Arabidopsis thaliana: one gene and its partner. The protein of the gene in region 1 interacts with the protein of each later gene in a pairwise test. Each region holds a gene or a part of one and is shown on either strand. Other genes may lie near its edges.

What was found.
Region 2: the proteins of AT1G26460 (region 1) and AT4G35850 interact in a two-hybrid assay, tested with the Arabidopsis thaliana proteins (one large-scale study listed by BioGRID).

The regions. Positions count from the first base shown.
Region 1 is NC_003070.9:9,148,884-9,157,556, reverse strand, and holds AT1G26460 (Tetratricopeptide repeat (TPR)-like superfamily protein), read right to left. Parts: upstream 5,930-8,673; 5' UTR 5,742-5,929; coding exon 5,095-5,741; intron 4,887-5,094; coding exon 4,664-4,886; intron 4,576-4,663; coding exon 4,093-4,575; intron 3,864-4,092; coding exon 3,657-3,863; intron 3,568-3,656; coding exon 3,430-3,567; intron 3,345-3,429; coding exon 3,150-3,344; 3' UTR 2,795-3,149; downstream 1-2,794. Other genes in the region: GRF12 (general regulatory factor 12), read left to right, coding at 1-174, 249-336, 413-522, 606-754, 834-898, 979-984; AT1G26470 (chromatin modification-like protein), read right to left, coding at 1,521-1,607, 1,733-1,802, 1,901-1,952, 2,145-2,217, 2,304-2,423; AT1G26450 (Carbohydrate-binding X8 domain superfamily protein), read left to right, coding at 7,494-7,545, 7,675-7,914, 8,005-8,032, 8,281-8,554.
Region 2 is NC_003075.7:16,980,373-16,989,279, forward strand, and holds AT4G35850 (Pentatricopeptide repeat (PPR) superfamily protein), read left to right. Parts: upstream 1-3,152; 5' UTR 3,153-3,265; coding exon 3,266-3,293; intron 3,294-3,433; coding exon 3,434-3,572; intron 3,573-3,744; coding exon 3,745-3,907; intron 3,908-4,107; coding exon 4,108-4,173; intron 4,174-4,274; coding exon 4,275-4,372; intron 4,373-4,544; coding exon 4,545-4,662; intron 4,663-4,745; coding exon 4,746-4,952; intron 4,953-5,073; coding exon 5,074-5,150; intron 5,151-5,315; coding exon 5,316-5,409; intron 5,410-5,671; coding exon 5,672-5,737; intron 5,738-5,839; coding exon 5,840-5,917; intron 5,918-6,020; coding exon 6,021-6,122; intron 6,123-6,210; coding exon 6,211-6,309; 3' UTR 6,310-6,595; downstream 6,596-8,907. Other genes in the region: AT4G35840 (RING/U-box superfamily protein), read left to right, coding at 711-867, 1,061-1,239, 1,334-1,417, 1,508-1,894; GB2 (GTP-binding 2), read right to left, coding at 6,746-6,838, 6,947-7,015, 7,109-7,313, 7,676-7,758, 8,168-8,307, 8,422-8,467.

The DNA of each region.
Region 1 (8,673 bases):
CGAGCAGAAAGAAGAGTCTAAAGGCAATGAATCAAACGTGAAACAAATCAAGGGTTATCGCCAAAAGGTAGAAGATGAGCTCGCTAACATTTGCCAAGACATTCTCACCATCATTGATCAGCATCTCATCCCTCACGCTACCTCAGGGGAAGCTACCGTCTTCTACTACAAGATGTGATAACAGAAAAACACTCTTCTTTTTGAATCATCATCTGCAAATGAAACTCAATTTGATCTGGAATTTGTAGGAAAGGAGATTATTACCGTTACTTGGCTGAGTTTAAGACCGAGCAAGAGAGGAAGGAAGCTGCTGAACAGTCTCTCAAAGGCTATGAGGTATTAAATTTGTTTCTTTAGTCAAATACTAGAGAATTATGAGAAGTTTGGTCTGATGCATCTGTATTTTGATTAGGCTGCAACACAAGCTGCAAGCACTGAGCTTCCTTCGACCCATCCAATTCGTCTTGGCCTTGCTCTTAACTTCTCTGTTTTCTACTATGAGATCATGAACTCTCCTGAAAGGTTTCAATCTAAAACATCAATAAATAAATATACCAATAGAGTGTCAACTTTGTTGTAATGTGGTTTCTATTAAACTGTTGCAGAGCTTGCCATTTGGCTAAGCAAGCCTTCGATGAGGCGATTGCAGAGTTAGATACTCTAAGTGAGGAGTCGTACAAGGACAGCACTTTGATCATGCAGCTCCTGAGAGACAACCTCACCCTCTGGACTTCTGATCTTCCTGAAGATGGAGGTTTGTCTGAAAATCACACAGCACACATGATGTCTCAGAATGTTTGAGCTTATAAGCAGTGGTTTTGTTATGATTTCAGGAGAAGACAACATCAAGACTGAAGAATCCAAGCAAGAACAGGCCAAGCCTGCCGATGCCACTGAGGTAGTAATTCACTTTAAAATGAGGTGTATGAATAGTTCTTGTTGGGTCTAAAGGCTCACTCTTTTGTTTGTTCGTTTCAGAACTGATCAAAGGGCTTGGAAGTTGAATGAGATTTAGATTCGATGTCCAGAAGGGGGAGGCAAATTCCTTTAAATTCCATAGCTTGGTTTCATCAGGAAGATGAGATCAGAGACAATTGAATTCAATCCTATATTGTTTCTTTTTTGTATTACTTTTCGTCTTCTTTATTTTGTTCTCAATTTTCATGTCATCAAGTATTTTATGTTACGCAATTTTATTATGATTTGATCAGCATATGCTTTTGCTATCATACATTCCCATCAGATCAATCAAATGTGTATCAAAAATTGCCAAACAAACACAACCCTGGCTCTAAATGCAAACATGAAAAGAGCGAAAACCGCAAAAAGCTTGTTATGATTATTAACTCTCTGGACAGAGTAACAAAAAGATTATTCATTGATCCTGATGGTTTTATTGACATTAAAACTTCAGAATATATAGAAAAAAGCTTATCATAAGAGCTGAAGACAAAACCTAACCATATACAAAAAGATGGGAGAAGATGAATGAAAAGAAAACATCTTTTCTTCTTCCTCTGTCATTCTTCTTCCTTATCAAAGAAACTCTGCGGCAAGGTAAAGTCTTCCTCGTGATTCAGAATGTCTATGTCCTCATCATCTGATTTCTAAGAAACAAAACAGAGGTAACAGATTAATAAAACCATCACCACAACTCTAAACAATGCCATGAAGTGAAACTAAAGCTATGGGACCAAAATAACAATCAATGCTTGTTGTAATTACTACTCACCAGCATCTCAATGTTGTAAAAACGATCGAGTAGCTGCAGAACCTCATCCGCAGTGAACGGTCGGTCAAAGCTATGTACAGGAATAGTTTGATAGAAAGACTCAATCAATAAGGATCAGAGACTCATGTATGTATTGGAAGTATGAAAGAAACTCTGAGAACAACAAACCTTCTTCCGAGATACTCCATCAGACCATAAAGAACAAAGTGGCGATGTATCCCTGCACACCATCATGATCCCATTAGCAGAAGAAATCAAGAAACCAACAAACTGATCAATGTGCAAGAACAATAGACATTGAAATGATTGCATTTGATAATGGTTTCTGATAACTATCATGATACAAAAGTAAACATTGGCAGAAGCATATAGAACGTAGCTAAAGGATCAAGATTTGAGAAGTGAAACTTGCCTCGGAGTTTAACAGGAGGATAGATTTCAAGGGCTTCTAATAACCTTAGCTCTAATTCAACCTGTGACTGCTCCTGAGAAGCAAATCCAATAAAAGAGGAACCTTTAAAATCTCAGGAACAGAAATGGTAGAGAGATAGAGAGAAAGAGAGAGAGAGACCTTGGAGAGAGAGGAGGCGGAGGAAGGTAAAGCTTTACAGGGAGAGTGTACGGACAAACCATCTTGCTCTTCCTCTTTCTCTTTACCTCCTCCGCCACTTTCGTCCGTTCTTCCACCCATTTTTTAGGGTTTTGTGGCTTTGATCCCAAATGTGTTGAAAACTTCTCATAAGCTGTTTGTGATTTGTGTATATATACAGGAGTGCTTGTTTGATCTCTGAACTGGGCCGGCCCATATTTAAGGCCTTGTCTTTGTGCTTTCATCCCACACACAATGATTATTTTAAAATCTAATTCTTTTTCTGCACTCATTTTAAAATCTAATGTTATTGAATGTTATTTTTTGCACTCATTTTAAGGGGTTTTAGATAATTTTGTTTAGTTAAATATACAAAATTATAAATCTCATGGCTTTAACTTTTTTAAGTGAGATTTGGGAGATTTTACAACAAATAACATTTTTCCTAAAGTCATCCAAAAACATAAAATCATTTTAAAACTAAAATCAATTAATATAGGGTTGAATTTAACTCTTTAGATTCAAAGAAGATAAAAGTCAAAATATTCCAAAGGTTTTGACATTATTGGTCAATGCAAAAGCATCTTCCTAAGACTATCGATCCTAAGAAAGTAAGAACCCAACTCTATTGGTTTCCGAAAAAGAAAAAAAGAAGCCAAGTAATGTATTGGATAAAAATCAGATTAAGAGACTCGGAAGAATAAAATGAAGCAATATACATCAATGAAACACTGGGCATGATGATCCATAACTTCAAAACTAGATGAGCCGGGGCTTCATTCCTTACTTCTCACAAGGGTTCGTTATTACAACCATCCATTTTGGATTTCAATTGTTTAATGCTCGGCCCCTGGAGTAGTCTATGTTGAACAGCATGTTCCTGCGGTTCTCGCTTCCCATTCTGATCTGAAACTTCTTGGCCAATGCCTCCACTTGATCATCGTTTTCATCGTCCATTTCCCTGACACATCTCCTTCTCAGCTTTTTCAATGTCTCCCTAGAGGGTTCAAATCCAGCCTTGATCTGTATAATTAGAACATGCATTAGTTTCTCAGACACACATCATTCTCTCATAGAGGTTAGGTTTTGTCTGTTAATTCTGGTTTACCATGTCATCAACGACGGTCAGAGCTGATTTGGGATCCCGGTTAATGAGATGAGCATCAACCAGTAATGAATACGTCCGGGAATCAGGTTTAACACCTATGCTAACCAGATGCTCGAATACATTCGTGGCCTCGAAAGTCTGCAAAGCAAATAGACTAGAGTCGTAAGGCCAAATAGTTAATTCATGAAAAGAAAATATTAGAGAGTGATTTGACATAGAAACAGCACCTTCTTGACTTTTCCAAATGCATATAGTAAAGCGTTGTATGAATCGATATTAGGAGTCAGCCCAAAAGAGGCACTTATTGCCTCAAACGTCTGATAAGCACGATCCAGATCCCATGTGTTTGCGCAGCCAAGAATTATACAGTTTAGAGCAGCAACAGACTTATATGGAGTATCACCTTGACTCAAACTCTCCAACTGGAAGTATACCTGGTGGATTATGTGACAGTGCAAGGTCAGATAAGCTAAGCGTTATAGCTGCTTCACTCTAAAATGCATTAATATCCAGACCATGATACTCGACTTCGATAAACAGGTTTTCTGGTTTTGTTCTATTAAATTTCACAACTATCTTAGCCAAAGACCCTACCTTAATTCTTGTTACGAACAAAGCTGAGAATATATAGAATATTTACCCTTAGGAAGAGTCGAGGTATACCTCATCCAATGTCTCAAAACCTTTCTTAGAGCACGCCACAACCAGCGGGTATAATGATGTAAAAGGTGAAAGCATTTCCTCCACAACTTCTTTTTCAGAGTCTGCGTATGCGGATTCAAGTTCATGAAGTGAAGTGAAAGCTTTTTGCAGATTCCCCAACGATGCATAGGCATTAATCTTTGCAATGTAAGATGCAGGGTTGGCTGCCTTCCTCCCACGCAGACTCTGTTTCAGAATCGTCCATGATCCTTCCACTAAAGATGAACTACAAGTCCTAGCAGCACTTGCAAGGCCTGCTACTACCAACCCTTCATCAACAGAAAAAATAACCGACGGCCTAGCCATTTCGCCTCTAGTGATCCACTTGAACATAAATTCAAACGCATAAAAGGCCAACTTGCTATTATCCTCTTGAATTGCAACTTCTGCAATATAGTTACACAGTATCCAGCTAGGGCAAAGAGACTTGTTCCGATCAACAGCCTGCAAAACAAAAATACACATATAATTGATAAACGAGACTGCAAAAGCTTCAAATGTCAATAGAAGATAACAAAAAACTCATCTGTACCTTACACCTCTCGATGATGGAGACCAGTGTATCTGTCCTACCTTTGGCTACACAACTACGAACACATTCAGTAAAGACACTGGTGGATAACATATAACCAGATTTCAGTGCCGTGTCCATAACTTTCATGGCTTCGTCATTCTTCCCAACTCCAAAATGCATTCCAATAACCAAATCATATGATTCATCATCCGGAAGAGAGTCCTTCCCCAAGAGGAGCATCCTGACCAAATTACATCAAGTCATGATACATTTTGAAAAGATCTACATTTACATGACAACAGTATCAGTAGCTGCTATGCAGAGATAACCTTTGATTCATCAGCAAATCTTACCGTTCAATCATGTAAAGTCTTAATCTTTACACTATTTCTAGAAGCATTGTTCATTGTACAAAAAAGGAATCTATCTACGAACTCAGAGAATCTAACCGTTCAAGCAGCTTCATGGCGGCTTCAGTCTCTCTTGCCTGGTACATAGCCTTCAAAACTAGATTATAAGACGCTGTATTAGGTTCAACAGAAAACTCCTCCATTGGCGCAACAAGATCAAGCATATCTCCAGCAGAAGCACCCATCATCAAGTTAGCTCGAAGGTAATGATTGTAAAGGTTCACATCAGGCTTATTCGGCTTCCCATTCTTGTCAAGCGATCGAACCCAAACCTCAAAAAGCTGCTTCATGTCAGACCAACGCTGCGAAGCAGTCCAATCCGCAAACATATTCAGCAGCGAGTTCATGTCAAGCGTCTCAGAGAGAGCTCTGATACGAGGAGCAGGAGCTTGATTTAGAAATCCTAATGGAACTAGAGATTGGTTGAAGGAAGGAGTGTTTGGGATCGGACTACGCCAATTCTCTTGGTAAAGAGGACTTCCTGTTGCTGGATTCGGTGGAAGCGGCGTGGAGGTTGATTGATGGTTTGATGGGTCGTGATCTGTTGATTCGGTTGCGAGCAGAGGATCTTGAGAGAGGAATGGTGTACCGGAAATGGCTCTGATGGGTGAAGCTGAGGTAAAAGGATTGGGTTTTAGGGTTTTGAGGAGAGAGATTCGAGATCGGGTAAAGAGATGAGACGCCATTGTTGGAAAGATTTGGTTTTTGAGTTTTGGGGTTTATCTGTGTTTAGGGTTTTCTGAGTTCTTCTCTCTCAGATGAGTTTTTAGACACTACTAACTCCGGTCGTGACGATCTGTTCTCGATGACGGCAGTGGCATTTTAGAGATTATCCAAGAAATCTGATGTCTTTTTTTCAGAAGTTGTCTTTGACTCCTCGACATGTTTTAGTCTTTTAGTATAAAGCCCAGCCCATTAATAGATATAGCCCAAACCTTGATTTTTCAAAGAAACCACACATACATCATATGAGGGAGTCTTCCACAATTAAAATTTAATATTTAAACAGAAGATATATTATTTAATGTTTAGGTGTGTCTTTAAATTAAAAACATTGTGTCTAAATGTCTTGGTGAAGACCTTTTTTTGAAAAGATGTCTTTAATTTAAAGACCTCTCACATTTAATTATTAATATTTTGTAATTTAAATTTTTTAAATGTTGCTAAAGACACCTTCCTCATATGTGCAATGGACATGCTATGGTTTTTCTTCTTACAAGTGTGTTTTTGTTGGTTTTAGTTTTAAACGCTTGGTTTTTATATAAGTTAAGGATGTATATAACGTCAAATCACTTTTTAATGGTTGGTGTTGGGATATTTTTCGCTTATTCGGTATTAGCGATTCAGTTTGCAACAAATTTAAGCGAGATCTTTCGCTCATGGTTATTGTTGGTGATGAGTTTCATACTTGACATCAGCATGATAGGAAAACATCCATTTAAATTAAATAGAATGATAAGAAGGAATTTTTATCTAAGATTACGGCATATTATTCATGGAGTTCGGTCCAACAAAGTCCCTTAATCGGCCATGGAGCTTGTATAAGAGGTTGAGTCCATCTCCAGAGTCAAAGAGAAGCAATAAAAATAAATTACTGAGAAGGAAAAAGTGATTACTTACGTTAGAGCTAGGTAAGGTTTATAGCTATTTCTGGTCGCCCTGTCAACACCATTTCGGATTATTTGTGTGACTTTGTGACTTGTACGTTGTAACACAATCACACGTTTTGTAATGCGGATGCAAAGTTTGTCCTGCACATGGCTCCCTCGCTTAGCCGCTTTGCCTTTAAAAAGTACTTAATACTTAAGTTTTTGCCTTTAAAGAGTGTATACTATTTCCAATTGTTTTGTGTTCTTTTCCCTGTTTTTCTCCATTATTTTCCATCGGTTAGTGCTTCAAAATCAAATTACTTTACTTTAAAAACATCTTTATCTTATTTTATCTTATAATATGTTAAATAACATTTTACATTTGCAAACGTGTGCATGCATCTTTTGTTGTCTTTGTGGAAAGCTAGACTCTTATCTAAATCCTAAAAAAGAATGCATCAGATGTACGTAAACTTAGGTGACAAATTAGTAAGAATAACAATTAACAAAGCTAGTTTTTCACATAAAGCCTACAATATTACGTGCGTCGACCGACCACAGTCACACATTGACTAGACGACAGGAATGCTTTTCACCTTCTCTGTTTCAGAGACCCACATTGCTTTGAGTACTCAAAATCTAACATTTACAAGTCATCACACAATAATATCTGAACTTTTCTTTACTTAAGCCTTAGGGTATTCTGCTTATTAGTACCCAAGAAATATCATAAAGAGTATAAATTGTCGATCATCATATCAGAATAATCTCCTCTCTCTCTAACAAACTCGCAAACTCACATTTGTGGTACTCTCAGTGTTAGACAAGTCCGATCAAGTTTAAGCAGTCATGGCGGTTTTGCTTCCTCTGTTTCTTCTCTCTTTCATGTTTACCTATTCAAGTAAGTTCTTTCTATCTTCTTTGAACATTTCTTTGTCCCTTGGCATTAAGACTCAAAATGGTTCCGACATTTTCGCTTCTTGGTTACGTTTTCCTTGTAATGCTAATCCGAGATATCTGTTTTGTACAGACGCGGCGGTTTGTGTGTGCAAGGACGCTAACGAGCTGGATCTTCAGAAGGTGATAGACTTCGCATGTGGAGGAGGTGCTGACTGTGCACAGATTCAGACGACCGGAGCTTGTTATCAACCAAACACCCTCAAGAACCACTGTGACGTTGCCGTTAACAGCTACTATCAAAAGAAAGCTTCCACCGGTGCCACATGTGACTTCAACGGCGCCGCCGTCATCTCCACTTCCCCTCCTTCGAGTATTCCTTCCATTAAAACCACAACTTCTTTTCATCAAATGTGTATCTTTTTTTTTTTTTGCTGATTCTTTATTTACTCTGTTCTTGCAGCTACGTCAAGCTGTTTATCTAGTTCTAGGTATGTTTCACATCACCTTGCCTTAGAGTTTAGATTAGGGTTATTTCCCTCTGTTTTCGTTTGCTTAGTGTTTTCTTTAGATCAGTAATGAGCTCTCTGATGATTCTAGTCGTTGAAATAGTTCAGTCATTTGTCTACTAATGTGTGACAGAATCTTTATTACTGATTTATTACCAAAATATTAATTATATCTTCTTAAAAATTGTGATGATGATTTAAGTGTGTTTATAAGAGTAACCTTTTTGTAGTTCCAACGGAACCCCCACTGCCGGATATCCATCCACCGGAAATTCAACCACAGCAAGTCCAGGCACCACAAATCCATCCACAGGCAATTCAACAAACAGCACACTACCCACTAATGATAAGCCGACTTCATCTACGATAACGTTTCCTGACAGTACTACTATGGGACCATCTAGCAGCACGAGTGGTGATCCCAACGGTGGAGAAGAGCTATCCGTCAGAACCACGACGATCATCTTACTGACTACCATCGCTGCCGTGGCATTGAGGGTTTAGGTAAGATCATCTCAAGATGATGACGAGGACGCTTATTTGTTGTGGACGGCTGAGATAATGCCAAGTTAATTAGAGCCTATCTTTCTTCCCACCGAATTTTAATCTTTAATTTCCAATTA
Region 2 (8,907 bases), on another chromosome or scaffold:
TGGAATACAATTATACAGAAACGGTAAGGGTAATCATTCAGCTTCTCGCACGTAATAGCACAATAACAAAGTCTCACCGTACCCATTTTAGTTTGGTATAACAATAAAGTATTGCTCATATTAAGGTTCTTACTATAAAAGGAAAGGAAGAATCAAAATAAGATTTTGAGATTTCCTCAAATAGTTAACATGTATAGAAATTATTTCTGTTTCGTATCTAATTGTTTCTTCTGATTGCTTGTATGATTCGAAAATGATCGACCCTACCATATTTTGGTATTATTCAGACAATCTAAATATCTCCCGTAGTTTTCTTATAATTAAAATCTAACACATTTTAAAAATTTATGTAAAAAACGAAGAAGTTATTTTATTAAACTATAAATAACCTTTTCTTTATAACTCTCTGCTTCTATCTTTCGAGCATTGAAATGATTAAAAAAAAATTAGTGGTGTTTTCAACATAGATCATGACAGGCAAACCCTAGATTTTACTTCACCTACTTGAGGTTAAAAAACTTAATTGCAAGTAGGCCAGACATCGGATCTTCTCTCTTAAGGGCTAAGCAAAACCCATCTCTCCTCTTTCTTCTATCTTCTTTCTCTTCCTTCTCTCTTCTCTTGTATAAACTCCACTGAGCTCTGTTTTTGTTTTTACCGTAGATCGTTTCGAGTCTCTTTAATCTTTGGCGGGTTCCGTAAAAAAAAAAATGGCCTCTTCTAGATTCCAATCTGGGTTTTGTCCTATCTCTTCGTGTCCCTCTCTTGAGAATTTCATCGAAAGGATTAAAGACGCATGTCGTTTCACCCTCTCCGCTGTTCTAGGGACAATTCTCTCGGCGGTCTTGACTTTCTTCTTCGCTTTAGGTCGGTCTCTTGTTTCCTATTACAATTTCTTGATTCTTTTCAAGAATGTCTCTCCACTTCTTGGAAACTTTTATGAAGCTTTTTGTCCTGCTTTGGATTGATTTGATCATTGATATCACTTTACTGTTGAGTAGGGTAGAATCTGCAACTTTGGGTTTTTATGTAGAGCTAAGAAAGTTGTTTCCTTCTTCAGTGGGCACATTGCTTGGAGCACTTACTGGAGCTTTGATAGGCCAAGAAACCGAAAGTGGGTTTATCCGAGGAGCGGCGGTTGGAGCCATTTCGGGAGCTGTTTTCTCTATCGAAGTCTTTGAGTCATCTCTTGTTCTTTGGAAATCTAATGAGTCACGTTTTGGATGTCTCCTCTACTTGGTGAGCTGAGATCTTCATTTGAACTACTCATCTGCTCTGTTTTTTTCCAGATTTGATTCGAACTGATTCTTGTTTCTTGTTAATCTTTGTGTAGATTGATGTCATTGTTAGTCTGATAAGTGGTAGACTTGTGCGGGAACGAATAGGTCCAGCAATGCTAAGTGCGGTTCAAAGTCAGGTACAGTTTTTTATTAGCAATGTGTTATTGGTTCCATTATCAGCAATGAGATCTCCTCTAATCATATTCATCTCTCTTCTCACTGATCAGATGGGAGCTGTGGATTCAACTTTCGAAGAGCTCTCGAGTATTTTCGATACCGGTGGCTCAAAGGGGTTAACAGGAGATTTGGTTGATAAAATACCTAAAATCAAAATCACTGGCAAAAACAACTTAGATGCTTCTGGCAACAAAGACTCATGTTCTGTTTGTCTTCAGGTTTTTTGCTCATTTCAGCTCAAACGAAATCTTAATTCCCCAAATGCAGAACCAAAAGGTTTAGTTCTTGATCTTCTTTTGTGTAACTTTTTGCAGGATTTTCAACTTGGTGAAACGGTGAGAAGCTTGCCACATTGTCATCACATGTTTCACTTGCCTTGCATAGACAATTGGCTCTTCAGGCACGGATCTTGTCCAATGTGTAGACGCGATCTGTAATCTCTTTTCTTACCATTTGCACAGCCTCTTCCCTCTCTCTCCTTCTTCTTGTATGGTCGTAAATTCGTAATCATGTGGTTAGAGTCTCTATATATGTACAAAGAAATGAAAAAAAAAAAGTTTTGAAATAAGTTGATCTTAACCAAACCCATTAAATTCAAGACTTTAGATTGTGTGTTGGTCTCACCAAACTTTGAAGTGAGTGATTGAATTTTCGTAAATACAACTACATTCAGTAGTTATGACGTGAAGGAAAGAAATTGAATTCTATGTGTGAATCTATGGCTCGTGTGGGCCTCCAGGAGATAAAATCATGCCAAATCACATTTCTTGATTTGGTTTGTTAATTAGCTCTTCTTACATCTAAACAAAACATTAATAATACTCACCAACACGTAATTAATTACAATGTCAATTTTGGCTAGTGCAATTATTACGAGAGCTTTCCGTGTTGTAACTTGTCATTTGGTTAAATGTTTTACTTAACAAACAAAGTGAATAATAATATGGTTATGTTGATCAGTCTCTATCTTTTTTCATGATGCTTTTTCTAGGTTTGCCTATAAGTCCTCTATATTTGGGGGGTCTTTTGAATTACATGGAACTTTATAAAAACTTTAAACATTTATTTCAAGAGTAGTCTGTTGTATTTAAAGTTTAGTTAAAAGAGTATTCAACGTTGTATCTGGTCATCTGGCACTTTAATTACTTAAATTTATAAAATATGAACCACAGGTTTTTAATCACGGGAAGCAGTATCGACTGAACAACTACTACAAAATTCTACAAGTGTTGTCGTGTGTTGATTGAAAAGTGTTTTTGAAATTCGTTTTCGAAAATGGAATTGCACGAGCTTTGATTAAAATAAAGGTTTCTTTTGGTCAATAGTTCTCACTTAACGCAAGAAGAACAAATATTAGTTGTCTTCACGTGATCTTCCGACAGATTCAAAGTTTTAATTAGTTGGGACATCCCCCAACTGTAATAATATCTTTTTCTCCATCATCATCGTTTCTTCTTCGGTACACGTGGCAGCCACGTGAACCACTCGATAGCCACGTGATCATCGTCAACTGGTTCTGCATATTAAGCCCAATAACCCATCAAGGCCCATACAGTGAGCATAAGCTTTTAAAATTCCGATCCATTAAATCAAACCGGTTAACTCCCGGTTAGATCTGTATATTTTCCGGTTTATGTTTATTCCCTAAACCCTGAGGCCTGAGCTGATGATATATCCTTTTTTCCGACGGCGGAACTCGATTATACAGTTTTCCTCTCTCTCACTCTCTCCGTAGTCTGAGACTCGCCGGAAAAGCTTGTATTGGCTTCTCTTCGATTTCTGGCGGAAGTAAGGATATCACGTGAGCTATGAAGTTCCTCATGCAATCCATTTCTGGTATGCTTTTATGGACTTTTCATCCTCGTGACTAACTAGATAGATCCCATTTTGCATCTGTCATGAATCGATCTTTATCCTTTTGATTCAATCGACTGCACATTCGTCCTTAATGTTAGTTTTTGATTCGACGGAAACAGGGAGGAATCGATCTCTGGTTCGAGCTCTAGTTAGTCGGCGTTACTTCGCTTCATCGCCGGAGGAAATCGCAAAGAGAAATTACGCCAACGATCTGTCGGAATACAACACCGCTGTCAACTCCGTCACAGCTCAGCGCAGGTTTATTTTCCCCCCTTGATTTGTATTGCTCATTGTGTTCAGAACATGGGGGGATCCAATATGAATGTGATGAGATATTGAGATTGAGAACTCTTTTGCCATGATAATATATACTTGGTTACTTCATTGGTCCATGCTTAAATATATGATAAATCTTTTCTTTTTTGGGTAGGCACTATTTGCTGAGGGATGTTTATGATGATATGAAGCTTGATGGTGTGCAGCCTACAGCTGATATCTTCCATTCATTTGTCGTGGGAACGATGAAGGGTGCTCGGTTAAGCGATGCGTTCTTTTTCCGGGAAGAAATGAAAGCCATGGGGATTGCTCCAGATGTATGTCCTATGATCTTGTTGTTTTTTACTCTTACATTGCATAGAATAAACTCGTCTTGTTGATTTATGTTCCTAAGAAAAGGTGAAATATAGAAAATCTAGCAGCTGATTGAGCGATTCCTTATTCAATGATTTAGACTTTACAGAATGAGTCCGTCCATCCGTGGCTTGTGTTGTTCACCGTGCGTTCATTCTTGTAGGTGAACTTGTACAACTTTTTAATTTCCACATGTGGGAAATGCAAGAATGGAAAGGAGGCAATCCGAGTATGTTATCTTCCACTTGCTTTAATGGAAGACCTTTTTTTTTTCTTTTACATTCCTTGATTTTCATTCATTAATGAAACTTTTGGTTGTCTTACTGTAAGGTCTATGACGAGATGAAGAGATATGATGTAAAACCAAATGGACAGACCTTTGTCTGCCTGCTCAATGCCTGCGCTGTTTCTGGCCAGTTAGATCTTGTGTAGGTTACCACTGCTTCTATTGTCTTTTGAGTGCTCACTAATTGAAATGATACTCTTTGATAAGCTTTTATCCCACTTTTCTCTGTTTTAAGTAAGTACTTGTTTATCTCTTCAGCGCTATCTAAGAAGTGATCTAATCTTTTTCTTATCTGACATCAAATAAATTGTTAGATATGCGATAGTTCGGGATATGACTGCTGCTGGTGTTGGTTTGAACCAGTTCTGCTATGCGGGACTCATAACTGCACACTTAAACAAGCAGCCCAGACCAGATAATCTTTCTACTAAGGTAACGTGTAAAGGTTTCTTGTTCAGATTTCCTTTTATTTTTTTTAAAGTAGGTTTTCTCACAGCCTCCTTTTTGCTCAAAAGATTCTCGAGTTTGTGGAGCAGTCAAAAGGCTGGTCAGCAATTGATTCATCAAGGAAGAGTGCAGAAGATGTGATGTTTAGCATCAGTGAAGAAGAGCTGTACAATATTCCAACCGCTGATTATTCCCACAGGACCAGGTTTCTGCAGAGGAATTTGACTGTGTATCACGTAGCATTCAGTGCTCTCGCTGATCTGAAGGATGTAAAAGTAAGATGATCTGTCTATCTAGATTCCAAAATGTCCTGAACTTAGTGGGAATAAAGATAAAGATAAGAAAAGCCAGTTTCGGAGTTTATTTTTGCATCTTACCAGCAATTCCTCATGGCAGGCAACGGAAGCTCTTCTTGAGATGCTTAAGAAAGACGGAAAAGATACTGACACTTACTGCATGCTACAAATCATGAGGTACAATAGAACACACACTTTGATGTTAATTTGCATCTAGATGTTAAAACATAGGCAGTCTTTAGCTACGAAATTAACTTTTGTTACTAGTATACTACACTATTAACTCTCGTTGAGAATCAAAACATGATTAACGTATATGCATCTTATTTTATATCTACGCAGGTGCTATCTACATTCGCAAGACTTTGAGAATGGTCTCAAACTGTTTCAAGATTACATGAGCGCAGACAAAATCCCTGCCATGGAACTATACACGGTAACACAATGATCTGACCTCATAACTGGTGTTTTCTATATTTGCTTTGAGAGTGAACGTCTTCTTTACTATATATGTCTTATAGTTGTTGATTCTCAATTGTCAAACCCCGCAAATGTATATACAAATAAATCTAAATTCTCAACTAACGCATTAGTCGAAGAGAATTATGCTTCTGTCCTGTTTCCCATACTTGGTTCAACATATCTTTGGGTGATATGTATATGCTGAAGATGTCAATTTATTTGTTTTATTTTTACAGACGCTTATAGAAGGAGCTATGACAGGATACACCGATAATGGAATGAAGATTGCTCAGGACACTCTGGTAATGCTTATTGGCTCGAGCTGTACTGAAAAAAAGAATCTATGAAGTAAACAAAACACGGGCCAATAGTAGAGCCTGATGACAATTTGTTTGTAAATGCAGATCCAAATGAACGAACGCAATTTCTTCTTAGACCCAAGAACTGGAAGCAATCTGTTACTCAAAGCCGCTGGTGAAAAGGTAAAAATCTTGAACTTCCCCTAAAAACTTTGGAAATATCTTACTGATATAAAGAGTTGGCTTAGTGAAAGTTAAAAAAAAAAAAACATTTTCTTTATGGCAGACGGGAGGGTACACAGTTGCAAATATGATATGGGATCTGATGCTAGCTCGGAATATTCTACCAACACTAGCTGCTGTTGAAGCTTACTACAAGGGCTTGAAAGTAATAAAAAACCTTTTTCTTATTTGACCACAAACTTTCTTTCTCTTGGTATTAGTTATTGATGGTTTTTGTGGTGTGGTAATCATAGGAACGCGAAATACCAGAGGATGATCCGAGACTGATGTTAGTGACGCGAACATACAATAACTTGCGGCTTAGGGAAGGGACATTACCTAATAGGCGTTAAAGCAAAGGGACCAAGAGGAAGAAAGATGGTATCATGGCTTCTTCGTTTTCTACTTCTATTTGCTTATTGGGATCTCTGTGAACCATCTGGGTATTTTAAAACCAGTTCGTTTAGATGAATAAGGAAATTTCACCTAGATGATGACTGGATATTATTCTGATTTGATTTCAATTACTTAACCTTGAGAGCTTCATACAAAGCGACAACGTTTTAAATAAGCCAACGCCTGTTTGGTTTATAAAGATCAGCCTGTTCACTCTTAAATGCACCCGTTTGGTTTTTTGATAAAAGACAATCTGGGAAAAAGAGAAAAAAAGAAAGAAAGAAAGAGAAACTATACATTCTGGTGTATCCATTTGCAGAGGTAAATAGAAGCAATAGTAGTTTCTGAATCACCAGATTACAGCAGATATGTGACACCTCTCTCGAGGATTTTTTAACCACAACAGCCACCTCCCTGAGAGATCGTACCATCTCTTCCTCCAGCTGCACCTTGAGTACGCCCGTAACCAATCTTGATACCTGATGACTGCAAAATTTAGAGAGACCAAGGGAATTGAATCACATTGTAACACAATCGAGGGATTAGAGAACACCAGAAGACTAAGTATATTGCCAGATTCAACAAGGAAATTACCTCGTTGGATACATCAAAGACACCATCCTGAATGTTCTGGAGGATCTTGGCAGCAGTCTCTATGAAGGCCTGTTGGAATCCAGAAAAAGAAGACAAAAGTCTCCATGTGATTACAGCCAAATAACAGGATGGGGAAAAAGAGTTGCAAGGAAGAAATGTCACCTCCTCAACGTTTTGAGCAGTTCTTGCAGATGCTTCTAAGAATAGCAGGCCATGTTCTTTGGCAAACTGTTGACCTTCCTCTTTGCTAACAGCTCTCTTGTGAGCAAGATCACATTTGTTCCCAATCAGCATAATACTCATGTTAGGATTTGCATGTTGCCGAGCATCCTCCAACCAGCTTGCCAGATGGTTAAACGTCTCTCTCCTGCAACCCAAAGAACCAAGAATTTTGAGCTTCAGAAAGATCAAAGCATGAAAAACCTCAATGATAAAACTCTTGCAATTCTTCATGTCCTTCATAACTTTCAAAATTCCAAAACAATGGAGGAAAAATATCTATTTTAGCAAGAATTTAAGATGGATGGTTAACTTAACATCCTCCCAAACAAGCATTGCCAATATTATAGCCAAGGATTTTGTTCAGATAAAAGTAACTTCCCAATTTCCAAAACCTTTCCAACAGTCTAGGTTTATCAAATCACAAATACAGAACCAATCACTTCCAAAACCTTGCTGGGGAATTCAGAAGTTCGAGCTGATATATATTGTCGCAAGGCAAAAACTAACCTGGTGATGTCATAAACCAGTAAAGCTCCGGCTGCTCCTCTGTAGTATGATCTGGTGATGGATCTAAAAGATTCTTGTCCAGCCTAAAAAATATCATACGAAACTTTAATCAGAAAGCACAACTCCAACACATACATCATCTAATGGAAGAACTATTGACCAGAAGAAATCACAACAAGGAATGCACTGGTGAACTCAGCTTCTATTACAATAAGCCTATGAAACTTAATCAAGAACCGTGCAATGATTAACTTTTTTGAAATTTTACCCCACTTTGAGTCTCTGGACATGATTTTCAAACATAATTTTTGGTATTGGCAATTCTAATGAGGCATTGTTTATATAAAAACGAAGAAATTGAATTGATTATGACAATTAATCTTCTTAATCACATCCTGCCTTAGGGAGAAAAAAAAAACAATCCTAATCGATAAAACGTGATTAGTTCCCTGATGACCTAATTACGACCAAGAGAAGAGAGAGGAAGCGTACGGTGTCCCAAATTTGGAGTTTGATGGGGCGTCCATCGACGGTGACCATCCGAGCACCGAACTCAACACCAATGGTGAGATCGTGGACTGGTTGGAACCTCTTATCAGTAAATTGCAGAAGCAGACACGATTTTCCCACACCTGAAACGACAAAAAAAACAACAACGAAAACACATGAAAATCGGCACGAAATGGATTTAACCCAGAAAAATAAAACAATTGGGAATTAAGAAAGGTGAAAGATCGGTCTCTCACCTGTGTCTCCGATGATTATGTACTTGAAGAGATAATCGTAAGACATGGTTGATGAATTTGAGCAAGGTCGATGATGAATTAGCGCAGGTCGATGGGTTCGAGAGAAGGAGATGTGAAAGAGAGGAAGAAGAGATTGAAGAGTACAAGTCACCGACGTGCTTTTTGATTTCGAGGTTTCTCGATGAAGAAGCTATCTTCTCCTTCTCATCTTTTATAATCTTTTTACTTAATTACTAAAATTAAAGGGATCTAATGACGAATTATCTGAATAATTGTTTTTCTTTTGTATCCTTAAGTTTCAACAGTAAATAAAAATCCACACAAAATACTCTATAGTATAATTTATTAATTATTATAGTCGTTTTAGTTAATTATTTAAAAACAGAGGGACCAGATGAAAAATATCTGGGAAACAAATTAAAGCTTAAAATCCATCTCTGCCTTTGGCTCCGTCCACTCTGACTCGACTAGTGCATCATCCATTGT